2 linked regions of the Caenorhabditis elegans genome follow. The protein of the gene in region 1 interacts with the protein of each later gene in a pairwise test. Each region holds a gene or a part of one and is shown in the gene's direction. Other genes may lie near its edges.

Region 1 (6,027 bases):
GCCAGTTGTTTTGTTTGTTGCTCGCTCGGCTTGGCAGACAGAGAGCCTTCACTGGTGCCGTACGGTAGCCGGTCACTTGGATGTTTGCAAAACGACTTCAGGCGCTCTGGACCTCTGCGAATTGCCGCTGCCTCATTTTTGACGAAAAGCACAAAACACCAAGTCAAATAATTCTCGCGACAGCAGGGTATTTTTGTCATTGTGGAGATACAACGCATGTGAAAAAAAAACAATAATTCTCACAATGATTTTAAGTTTTCATTTCCCTTTTGTTTCTTGATAGGCAGCTCACAAAAAATTGCTGAGTGCGCTTTTTTATCAGCAGTTTAGTTCGCTGCTTCAAATTTCACTTTTTTTAAATGTTTTCTTTTTTCCAGCGATAAACACGGGTTACATGATTTAGTGATTTATGATGCAAATCGTAATCAATCACGAGAATTTTAGACTTATCAATGGCTTAAACTGTGGCACTGAAATGCAAAAGTTGAGCATATCAGAATATTATCAAATACGTAATTTTTTTGCAAGTTTATAAGGCGACAAACAAAATCAGACAGTGCGTCATAATTTCTTTGCAACATCAGCCAGCTAAATGTGTTTTGACTCCAGGGAACGTTAATGGACAATGAAATCAAAAAAAAAATAGGAGCAAAAATCGACCCACGCATCATCACAATTCCAGAGAGAATTGTGTGCACTTTCATACCGATTGATTCTTAGGATTTTCATTCGTCAAGATAGCTTGTTAGTTATTAAAACTTATTACCTTAGAGTCCACTACTTAGTATAGACTTGAAACACATTTCAAAACATTTCAACCGTGTCATTATTTTTCAATTTATAGATTCACCCATGTTTCTGGTCCGCCACGTTGTAGCTTGTTTATTCAATGACGTGCATTCCCAATTTCTAGCAATAAACCTGTTTCCAATTTTCATGACATCCTAACTCTTTATAATGAAAAAAATTGTGCACAATGCACATTCTTTTTTCTTCTTTACCTGTACTCCTTATGTAGTATGAATAAGAAAAGGTTTGTTCATTTGCATTGAATTATGGGGGGATGGCGCGGCGTAGTTTGCACCATTGAAAGAGGTCCCATCGTGTCTGACACGACCAACCTGACTCATCAATTTTAGAACCCTTCCCCCCCCCCCCCCCCACCCCCACACTTTTGTTCAAGCTCAGTACATTTTATTTATTATTTTATTATATTCGATCGGCTCAGTGATTGATCTTTTTTTAGTTTTTTAGTCGATGTCTTGCGAATATGTATTTGATATCGTCTTTTCAACCACAAATTTTTTCAAACTCTTCTCACGTTTTATTTAATGACGTTTCAGTATTTTGTCAGCAATTAGATCAGTTTTCAATTCAATATTGAATTGGTGTGCAACATGATTCACTGATAAAAATGGGCTTTTGCCCCCTAATTGACGCAATCAATGCTAACTCTCCAACAAACATATTTCGTGTAATAGATCATCGAGTTTTCAATTCAGTTTTCCATTGGCGCCATCAATTTCATTTTGTTACTTATCAGCTTATTTCTGGAAAAGCTTGGTTTCATGTGACACTGAGCGAGGCAATGATTAGGAGTGTCACACTAGTCAACCTCACGCGCGCCAGAAATCGCTTGACGCTCTGCTGATAACTTTTCCGAGTCGAAGCAAAAAAAGGGGTTGGGAATAGCGAAAATTAGCGATAAAATAAAATTTGACTGATTAACAGTGCCACTTTATTCGTTACTACTCTAGTGCACAAACAGGTCGACACTACTCTTCGGTCTCGACTTAACCTACCATCTTCAGTACTAACTTTTATTACTATCTCACTTGTACTGTTCAATATGACTGCTGCTTATTGTACGTATACCCTCTCTCATCATAGTGTTTATTTGAAAGATAAATCTTCTAATTTCCAGGCGAGACCCAATTTCATGGTTTGAACCAATTCGCGTTCCCGTTCAACAACTTGGAATACAAGTACGGAAGTTGTAAGTCTGACGGTTGGAATTATAATATTTCCAATAGTATTTTGTCACTCTAGATTCTTCATCAATGAACGGTACTGGCTCAGTCGGTCACAGATGGAATTCTCTGAGCCCGGAGCCACATTCCGGAACGGAGTCAACCGCAAGCACTCCTTTTGTTAAAAGCGAGTTCCCATTTGATGATGATCTATTCGGAATCGACCAGGTAAGTTTTTGTCTTCTTCTTTTTTGAGACCATGTGGGTGTGGTTGCGTTAATTATTTTATGCCTGCTCTGAAAACTGGTTATGATTACCAAAATTGAAGTTTGAAATAAGAACGTTTTTGGGAAAATGAGAGTAACAAACACACCTTACTCATTTTTATCAATCAGTTGAATCATCAATGTTTTTTTAAACGCAAGTTAGCTTCAATAATTTTTTGCTATTTTGAAATTTAGTTTACTTTATTTGTTCTCATATTCATTTTCTTTCACAGTAAGACACGTGCGTGCTATTTACGTCATAGATGCGATAATTGATAAGACCCGATTGATGGAGAAAATAGAGAAATAATTTTTTGAGTGACTTTTTTTGCATTTTAATCACGTTGGAAACAATCACAATGTACAACTATTTTAGGTAAACAACGTCAAACCACATCCGATGGATATGCCATGCAATCTTCCAATCCAACCCATCGAGTATAACCGTCGATTCTCAAAGGTAGTTTTACTGATTATCACACTGACCCCTCTGTATTATTATAATTTGCAGGACGCCGATCACAGCACGTTTGTGAAGAATGAGATTGAAGGTTGGTACTTTAGATGGATTAGATACATACAAACACCATTAACGACTGTTTTGAATGGTGTCAATCATAATCTCGGGTTCTTTTAACGCCTTCTTCTCCCTTTCGGACTTTCACTATCCCTTCATCGAAAAACATCTCATTTCGTTTGGCGGGAGATACTATTGAGAAAACACGTTTTCCTTCGATTAGGGTAGTTAGGCACAGGTCAGCTTTTTCTCTGGCTGACGGCACGCCTGGATTGACCAGTGAAAGTTTTCCAAGCGGCTACCGAATTAGTTGTGGGTCGGGGTCATGTTTTTTTAAGCTGCTTTGGCTAACCACAATAGAAAACAAAGTTGTGACCCATTACAAAGTAAAAAAGAAAAGGGCTTAGATATTAGGAAGATATGGAAATGTGTCAGGGTTAGAAAAGTGCGGGTGATACATGGATATGCATCAATGCTTGTTGTTTGAATGTTTACCACGAAAAAGTTCCAGAAAACATTCTCAATTTCAATGTCAATCCGGAGATTGCGCAAGACAACGGTCTTGACACCCAGCAAATTGACATCTACAGGGACCTGATTCTCCGTCATCTGATTCAAGACATCAGTACAACTTGTGCCAAATTGGGACTTCCAAATGGTACATTACTTATCCACAATACCTCATTTATATTTTTGGTCTCTAGATTTCTACCTGTGGTCATCCGAGCATGGAGCACGATGGATCAACGAGATGTGCATGCAATTCAATCTTCAGCCGCCTAGAAACTGTTCAATCACTGGTATTGATTTGCTCGGCATGAGTCAAAAAGATTTCGAAATGATTTTGCCGGCGGGAGGCGACACGTTGCATGCCCAACTCCAAGTGTGGAAGACCGGTACGTCAGATTACGTGAAAGGTGATGCGATTAGCATGACTATAAATCACGCCCTTTTTCTGATTGTCATCATGACGGTTATCAGTGACATGCTCACACGAAAACGAGACACCAATCCAATTCAATTTCAGCATTTGAAAACTATCATCCACCCGTGACCGTTCAGAGCTCCGGAATGACCGCTGCCGAAAATAACATGCAGTCAAAAACTAATTGGGTATGTAAATGTTGATTATGTCATTCCTCAGAATTTTCGGCGCGCAGTCTTTTTGTACCCCTATTTGCTCAATGCGTTTTTTTCATAAAGCCTTCTCGTATTTTTAGCTAGCCAGCACCAACAATCAAACAAACAACATGGCAGCTGCTGAGAACCCGAATCATCCATTTTTCAATGGAAACGGTTGGTTTCGAACCGGAAGCGTTTGATGTGAATAAGTAAATTGTATTTATAGGAGGGTATCCAAACATGTCGATGAGCAGCTTCTTTCAACAGGGAACTGTTTTGCCATCGCCAAGCAACAGCGATACCAGCAGCAATGGGAGCAGTCAAGACAGTATGACACGGGCTTATTAGTACTGTAACTAATTCAGAGTTTTTTAGTGAATGACGATGATATTGATCTTCACATGAACAATTCGAACTGTGGTTTCTCAAACTTCTTTCACAACCAGGGTTACATGAACTCCCCTATTGACGCAATGTGCAACGGAAGCGAGGGAGATGACGATGAGCGTGCCTACACTCGTCATCAAGGAACTGTTCATCTGTGGCAGTTTATTCGTGAGCTTTTGGATCAACCAAAACAGTACAGTGCATGTGTTCGATGGGTGGATAGAGATGAGGGAACTTTTAAAATCGAGTCTTCCCTCCTGCTGGCTAGATATTGGGGACAACGAAAAAACCGTTCACAGATGAATTATGACAAGTTGTCCAGAAGTCTTCGACAGTACTATAAGAAAGGTAAAAAGAATAGGAGGAAGTGTAAAACAAAAACGTTACAAATCAATATTCCAGGAATCATCCAAAAGCCGGAAAAGAAGCAGCGTTTGGTGTACAAATTCCTGCCTCCTTATAACTTGTAGTCATCTGGCAGAAAGACAACGACGTGTTGCTATCTGTGTATGTGTCAATACTCTGTTTACATTTTTCAACTTGTCCTGTCGGTCCAGTGTGGTCCCATTTCCCGATATCTGTGATTCAAGATATACTTCCATGTACTGTTCGTTGTAGAACATATTCCTATTGTGTCCCATACTTCTTTTTAATACCCGAGTCAATCATTCAAGGTTTTATTCAACTTCTTTATTTTCTTTTTTTTTCTCATTCTTTTTCAATTGTTGGGAACAATCAAAAAGTATTACAAATGTTATTACCATTTAGAGTGTGTAGTTCAGATGTCTGAATATTGTTTCACTCGATTTATTTATTGTAATGCAATATTTACCGGTTTGAAACCGTGCAATATGTTGTTCTCTATTTATTCTCGTTCTCATGTCAGAACTCTTCCTCTCTCCCAAATACTTTACCAAATAACGGCTCATATATCCACCAGTGACAGAAAAATAAGCGTTTTACTGAACTGTTCCCGATTGTATTTATACCAATATGATTATGTTAATTATAACAATTATAATATTGTATCAAAAAAATGTTTTAATTTTACATTCCATTTATACTCCAGCCTCCTTCCCCTGTTTACTAGCCTAGTTATCCCCCAAAGAAATTGTATTACAACAATGTGTAGTCCCAGTGTTTTTTTATATCATTGTGCAATTATTTATTCAGATTGTATTATATATTAATGAACCAGATAAATATTTTTTCAAAATATAAAACTTGGCTTTTAGCAAAACTAAAGATAAACATGAAAATGAAGGAAAGCTTTGAAAAGATGAATTATGAAACACAACGAATTTCGAATTCAACATTTAATTTCTCAATCAAAGTAGATCATCCTAGATATCCCATTTGATTGAACGACTCTGTATCCGATTGTGCAAGTCCAAAGGTCTCATAATCTGTGAAGAATTGCTGAAACAGAGAACGAAGGGTCATTACGTCAATACTTTTTTTGCTGAGCTACCTGTCCATTTCCATTATCATTGAGTGACATTTGTCCTCCGGCAGTAAAATAGTGTGGCTGATGGAGAAACGCTGAAAAGAGCAAAGATAAGCGGTGACCACGGATGGCTTGTTTGCGGTTACATGGGAATCGCAATGCAAAACACAAAAATCATCAACTGAAATTGATTGATACTTGCGGAAACTATAAGACACATATGAATGTAAATTTGAAATTTTCACGTAGAAAAACCTGAAAATAATTACATTTATCAAAAAAAAATGCCAACACATCAAATATATCGACATTTTAAAA
Region 2 (3,717 bases), 5.1 Mb from region 1:
AATTTCAAATGGCAAAATTAAACGCATCATATGAATTTTCCTATATCTATTTTGAGAAGTACGCATATTCTATAAAAAATATGTAGAAAAAACGAGAAAAATTCGAAAATAGACAGTGTTAAGTGCTTCCGTCTTATAAAAAACCCCTTTAAACATTTCAGGCAAATCTGGTATCCGGCAAATCGGCAAGTCGGCAACTTGCCGTAAATTAAAATTTCCGGCAAATCGGCAAACCGGCATATCGCCGGAATTGGAAATTTCCGGCAAATCGGCTAATAGCCGGTTTGCCGATTTGCCGATTTGCCGAATTTGTCGACAAATCAATTTACCGAACGGCAATTGCCGCCCAGCCCTGATATAGACTATCAAAGTCATATGATTTTTATCGATGCACCATGTTTAGTTATTACTCTTTCAGTATAGCTCTCTAACTTGAGAAACTTGTATTTGTTTTTGTCACATTTTCTATAATTTTGTAGTAAAGAATAAATTTATACCTTGAAAACAATATTTTGGTTGTTTTTGATTTCGGTAATAAATTGTCAACAATTGACAAAATACTTTTTTATCACATTTTTCGAATTTTGTAGTCAAAAATAAGTTTAGAACTAAAATCGTGCCAACACATGGACTGTCAAGTTCATATGATTCTTGTCGATGCACCATGTATTAAAATCACTTTAGTATTGCACTCTAACTTGAACAGCTTATAACTTGGTTGTTTTTGAGATTTTCAGAAAATTTTCAATTGAAAAAATTCTTATTATTACGTTTTCTAGCGGTTTGAAGTTGAAAATTTATAGTTTTTCAAAAAAATAGGAATATTTACCAGCAAGGATCTAGAATGGGAACTGTGATCCCAATCGATGCACGATGAGCAATAGTTTTTGTTGAGCCGTTACCTTCTAACTGAACAGATGTTGAATGAATTTATAACAATTTGCCAACTAACATAGTATTTGTTTTATAGTTTTTTAACTAAAAATGATTATTTTATGGCTACCAGTCGAAGTGTGTAGCCGATGCACCATGTTCAAATTTGGAACAATTCTATTTAGTTTGTTCTTTTTTCTCTCTCTCTCCTACAATCTCCATTTTCCCCCACGACAGTTTTTCATGACTTTGCAGTATGCATGACATGTATGACTCACAGTCCAGTTCCCTCGGTTTCTCTGCGTCTTTCCCAGCAAACAACAAAACCACTCGCGCTTCTCCCATTCCTCTCGCCCCGCATAGTGTGCAGCGGGAAGAGACGCAGAGGCGGCGTTGTGACTCATCGCAAGCTCTGCGTCTCCTGTCCCCTCCTCTCTTCTCACAACACAACATTGCCGCCGATTTCGCAATACTTTGCGCCCTGCCTCCTAGCGTCGGTATTCATCCATCTCCTTGGAGTCTAATTGTACACAACTCGCCCCGCCCATGGCTATAAGTCGACGTGGAAAAAAGTGTCGGGGTTTGTCATTTCGCAATCCGGAGACGGTTGGGTCTGGTGGAGGGCTCCTCGAGCTGGTTTGAGTATTTTGTAGTGTTAGAAGCCGATTTCTATGTTGATAATCCTTCTTCTTAAATTAGCAGTTACATAGTCATTTGTGATGTCGATTTCCTTTCTGACAATTTTTCAACTTTATAGACAATTTAAATATCTATTTTTTATCCATTTTCTAGTGTTGGAGCAAGTCTAAAAGTTTGAGTTATCGTTTCTAAAATCTGTAAGAAATGTAACCTTTTTAGTTTATTTTATTCACACTCCCATTTGATAACTACTGATAACCTTCTGGGTGTGTCCCATAGCGCTTGCTCACCCTTATGCAGCTGGTTGCTAAATTCGGCGGCAATGACGTCATCATTTCACTTTTCTCATTTTTCCTCCTTGCTTTCTCTGTTTCTCTTTTTATTTCTCATCGCCTCTCACCGAGAACATTCGAAACCTTTTCGCAAACTGTTTGCTCTTATTTCTCTTTAACTTCTCTTTAAGTTTAGTGTATTTTTTTCAGAATAAAGAAAATGTATAGCAAGCTGAACTACAGCCACCAAAAGGGCGACCAGGCCCTCAAGCATCCACACCTGGTAAGACTCCAGCAATCCGAGGTACGTGGGTTCACTGACATGCCGAACAACGGAGCTTCCACCTCCTCCGCCGGATCCTTCGCAAGACAAGTAAGTGGATAAAGTGCTCTTGCTCACTCTTAGTCATCGATATTTTCAGGACTCTCTTACCATTGCCGCATCCCTCCAGCAACGTGACCGCGAACGCCATCCAGTGGACTTTATGGAAACTGAGCTGGACCTTGGCGACTACCTGCAAGTGCTCCACGATCTTGACGTTCCTACCGACAATGTGGATTTTGATGATGCCGAGCTCCAAAAGTGCAACATCCTTTACGACGGAGAGCATCCTTACGAACAACCGGAGCTGAACGGATATGAGCGCCACGTGGCGTACGGCACTGGCTATCGAGTGCCTGGGGATTATGATCAGGATGGGTACAAGATGAATTGTGAAGTGAAAGCTGAGACACCGGATTTCGGAGCTACCAAGACCCGCCGAGCTGTCAAACGCCCAGTTCCTTATGACGATTACCAGAAGGAATACTCGGAGGAGTCCAGCGATATGACGGATAACGACGGAAGCGTTGACGACTCCTACTTTGAGCCAAAGAGCAAGAAAACTAAATCCGCCGGACTGGAAAACTTCAAGCCACAGACCAGAGCAAGAAAGTACAAACTCAAGGCAGACGAGGAGAAGGCTGAGCCGACCTACAAATTGAAAAGAGCCCGGAACAATGATGCCGTCAGAAAATCGCGTAAAAAGGCAAAGGAGCTCCAGGACAAGAAGGAAGCCGAGCACGACAAGATGAAGAGGCGCATCGCCGAGCTTGAAGGGCTCCTCCAGTCCGAGCGTGACGCCAGACGTCGGGACCAGGACACCTTGGAGCAGCTTCTCAGGAATAAGTGAGTCAGAATAAAACCCTTAGTGTTTCTCAACGATTTGTAATTTCAGAGGCCCGATGAAAGAGCAACGCATGCCCCAACGCCACATCCTCGAGAACTTCAACAAGTAACCTGCAGCTTCATCAATTAACCAATCAATAATTTAGACACCTAGGATCCTCATATTTATTCCACGGCATTCTCCCCCCATCATTCCAGTGACCCCCCCCCCCCCCCCCCCTTCATTGATCCCAATCTAGTCTCCCAGTGTAAAACAAGCATCAAACCGTACATAATTCTATTCCATCTCTCTCCCTTCCCCCCAAAGCTGAGCTTTCATCTGTTCCCCCCGTTTACTTGCTGGCAAGTTATTTTGTTACTTAGTTGTGAAACTTGAAATTTCCTATATTTTGAGAGTTGCTCGCAGAGCCTCTTGCGCTTCAAAGTCCAATAACTCGAAATTGGCTGGAAAATTTTCCTTAACTTCCTTTCAACACCACGTAGCAAAAAACCAGATCCTCTTCCAATCCCTACACCACTGGTAATGTTTCCCCTTCCAGTCAACTAGTGCATTTTTTGTCTGAAAACCTATCCCCCCTGAACATGTGTTAACTAATTTTGCCTTGATAATTTCAAATTCGCTTTATTATTTTTGCCTTTTTTCTATTGTTTTTTTCTTTTTGATCGCTGATTTTATCTAAATAGAAATAAATTCATCAGTGCTCAAAAAATTTACATTTAGGATTCCAAATTCTATAGTCAAAAATTTCAAAAATTTCAAAAATA

What was found. The genes of interacting proteins can lie anywhere in the genome.
Region 2: the proteins of ets-4 (region 1) and cebp-1 interact in a two-hybrid assay, tested with the Caenorhabditis elegans proteins (one study listed by BioGRID).

The regions. Positions count from the first base shown.
Region 1 is NC_003284.9:6,517,183-6,523,209, forward strand, and holds ets-4 (Transcription factor ets-4), read left to right. Parts: upstream 1-1,753; 5' UTR 1,754-1,849; coding exon 1,850-1,865; intron 1,866-1,924; coding exon 1,925-1,996; intron 1,997-2,049; coding exon 2,050-2,198; intron 2,199-2,612; coding exon 2,613-2,696; intron 2,697-2,747; coding exon 2,748-2,787; intron 2,788-2,900; exon of another isoform or gene 2,901-3,109; intron 3,110-3,264; coding exon 3,265-3,411; intron 3,412-3,457; coding exon 3,458-3,649; intron 3,650-3,780; coding exon 3,781-3,866; intron 3,867-3,973; coding exon 3,974-4,049; intron 4,050-4,101; coding exon 4,102-4,203; intron 4,204-4,250; coding exon 4,251-4,610; intron 4,611-4,664; coding exon 4,665-4,732; 3' UTR 4,733-5,474; downstream 5,475-6,027. Other genes in the region: Homeobox protein ceh-60, read right to left, coding at 5,601-5,681, 5,734-5,804. UniProt on the Caenorhabditis elegans protein: Transcription factor which binds to 5'-GGAA/T-3' DNA consensus sequences. Both positively and negatively regulates the expression of target genes. Plays a role in the regulation of adult lifespan, which may in part be through modulation of daf-16 activity.
Region 2 is NC_003284.9:1,452,146-1,455,862, reverse strand, and holds cebp-1 (CCAAT/enhancer-binding protein homolog 1), read left to right. Parts: upstream 1-1,994; 5' UTR 1,995-2,004; coding exon 2,005-2,157; intron 2,158-2,206; coding exon 2,207-2,952; intron 2,953-3,001; coding exon 3,002-3,062; 3' UTR 3,063-3,168; downstream 3,169-3,717. UniProt on the Caenorhabditis elegans protein: Transcription factor. Binds to promoter regions of target genes, perhaps at the motif 5'-[AGCT]TT[AGT][TC]GAAA[ACT]-3'.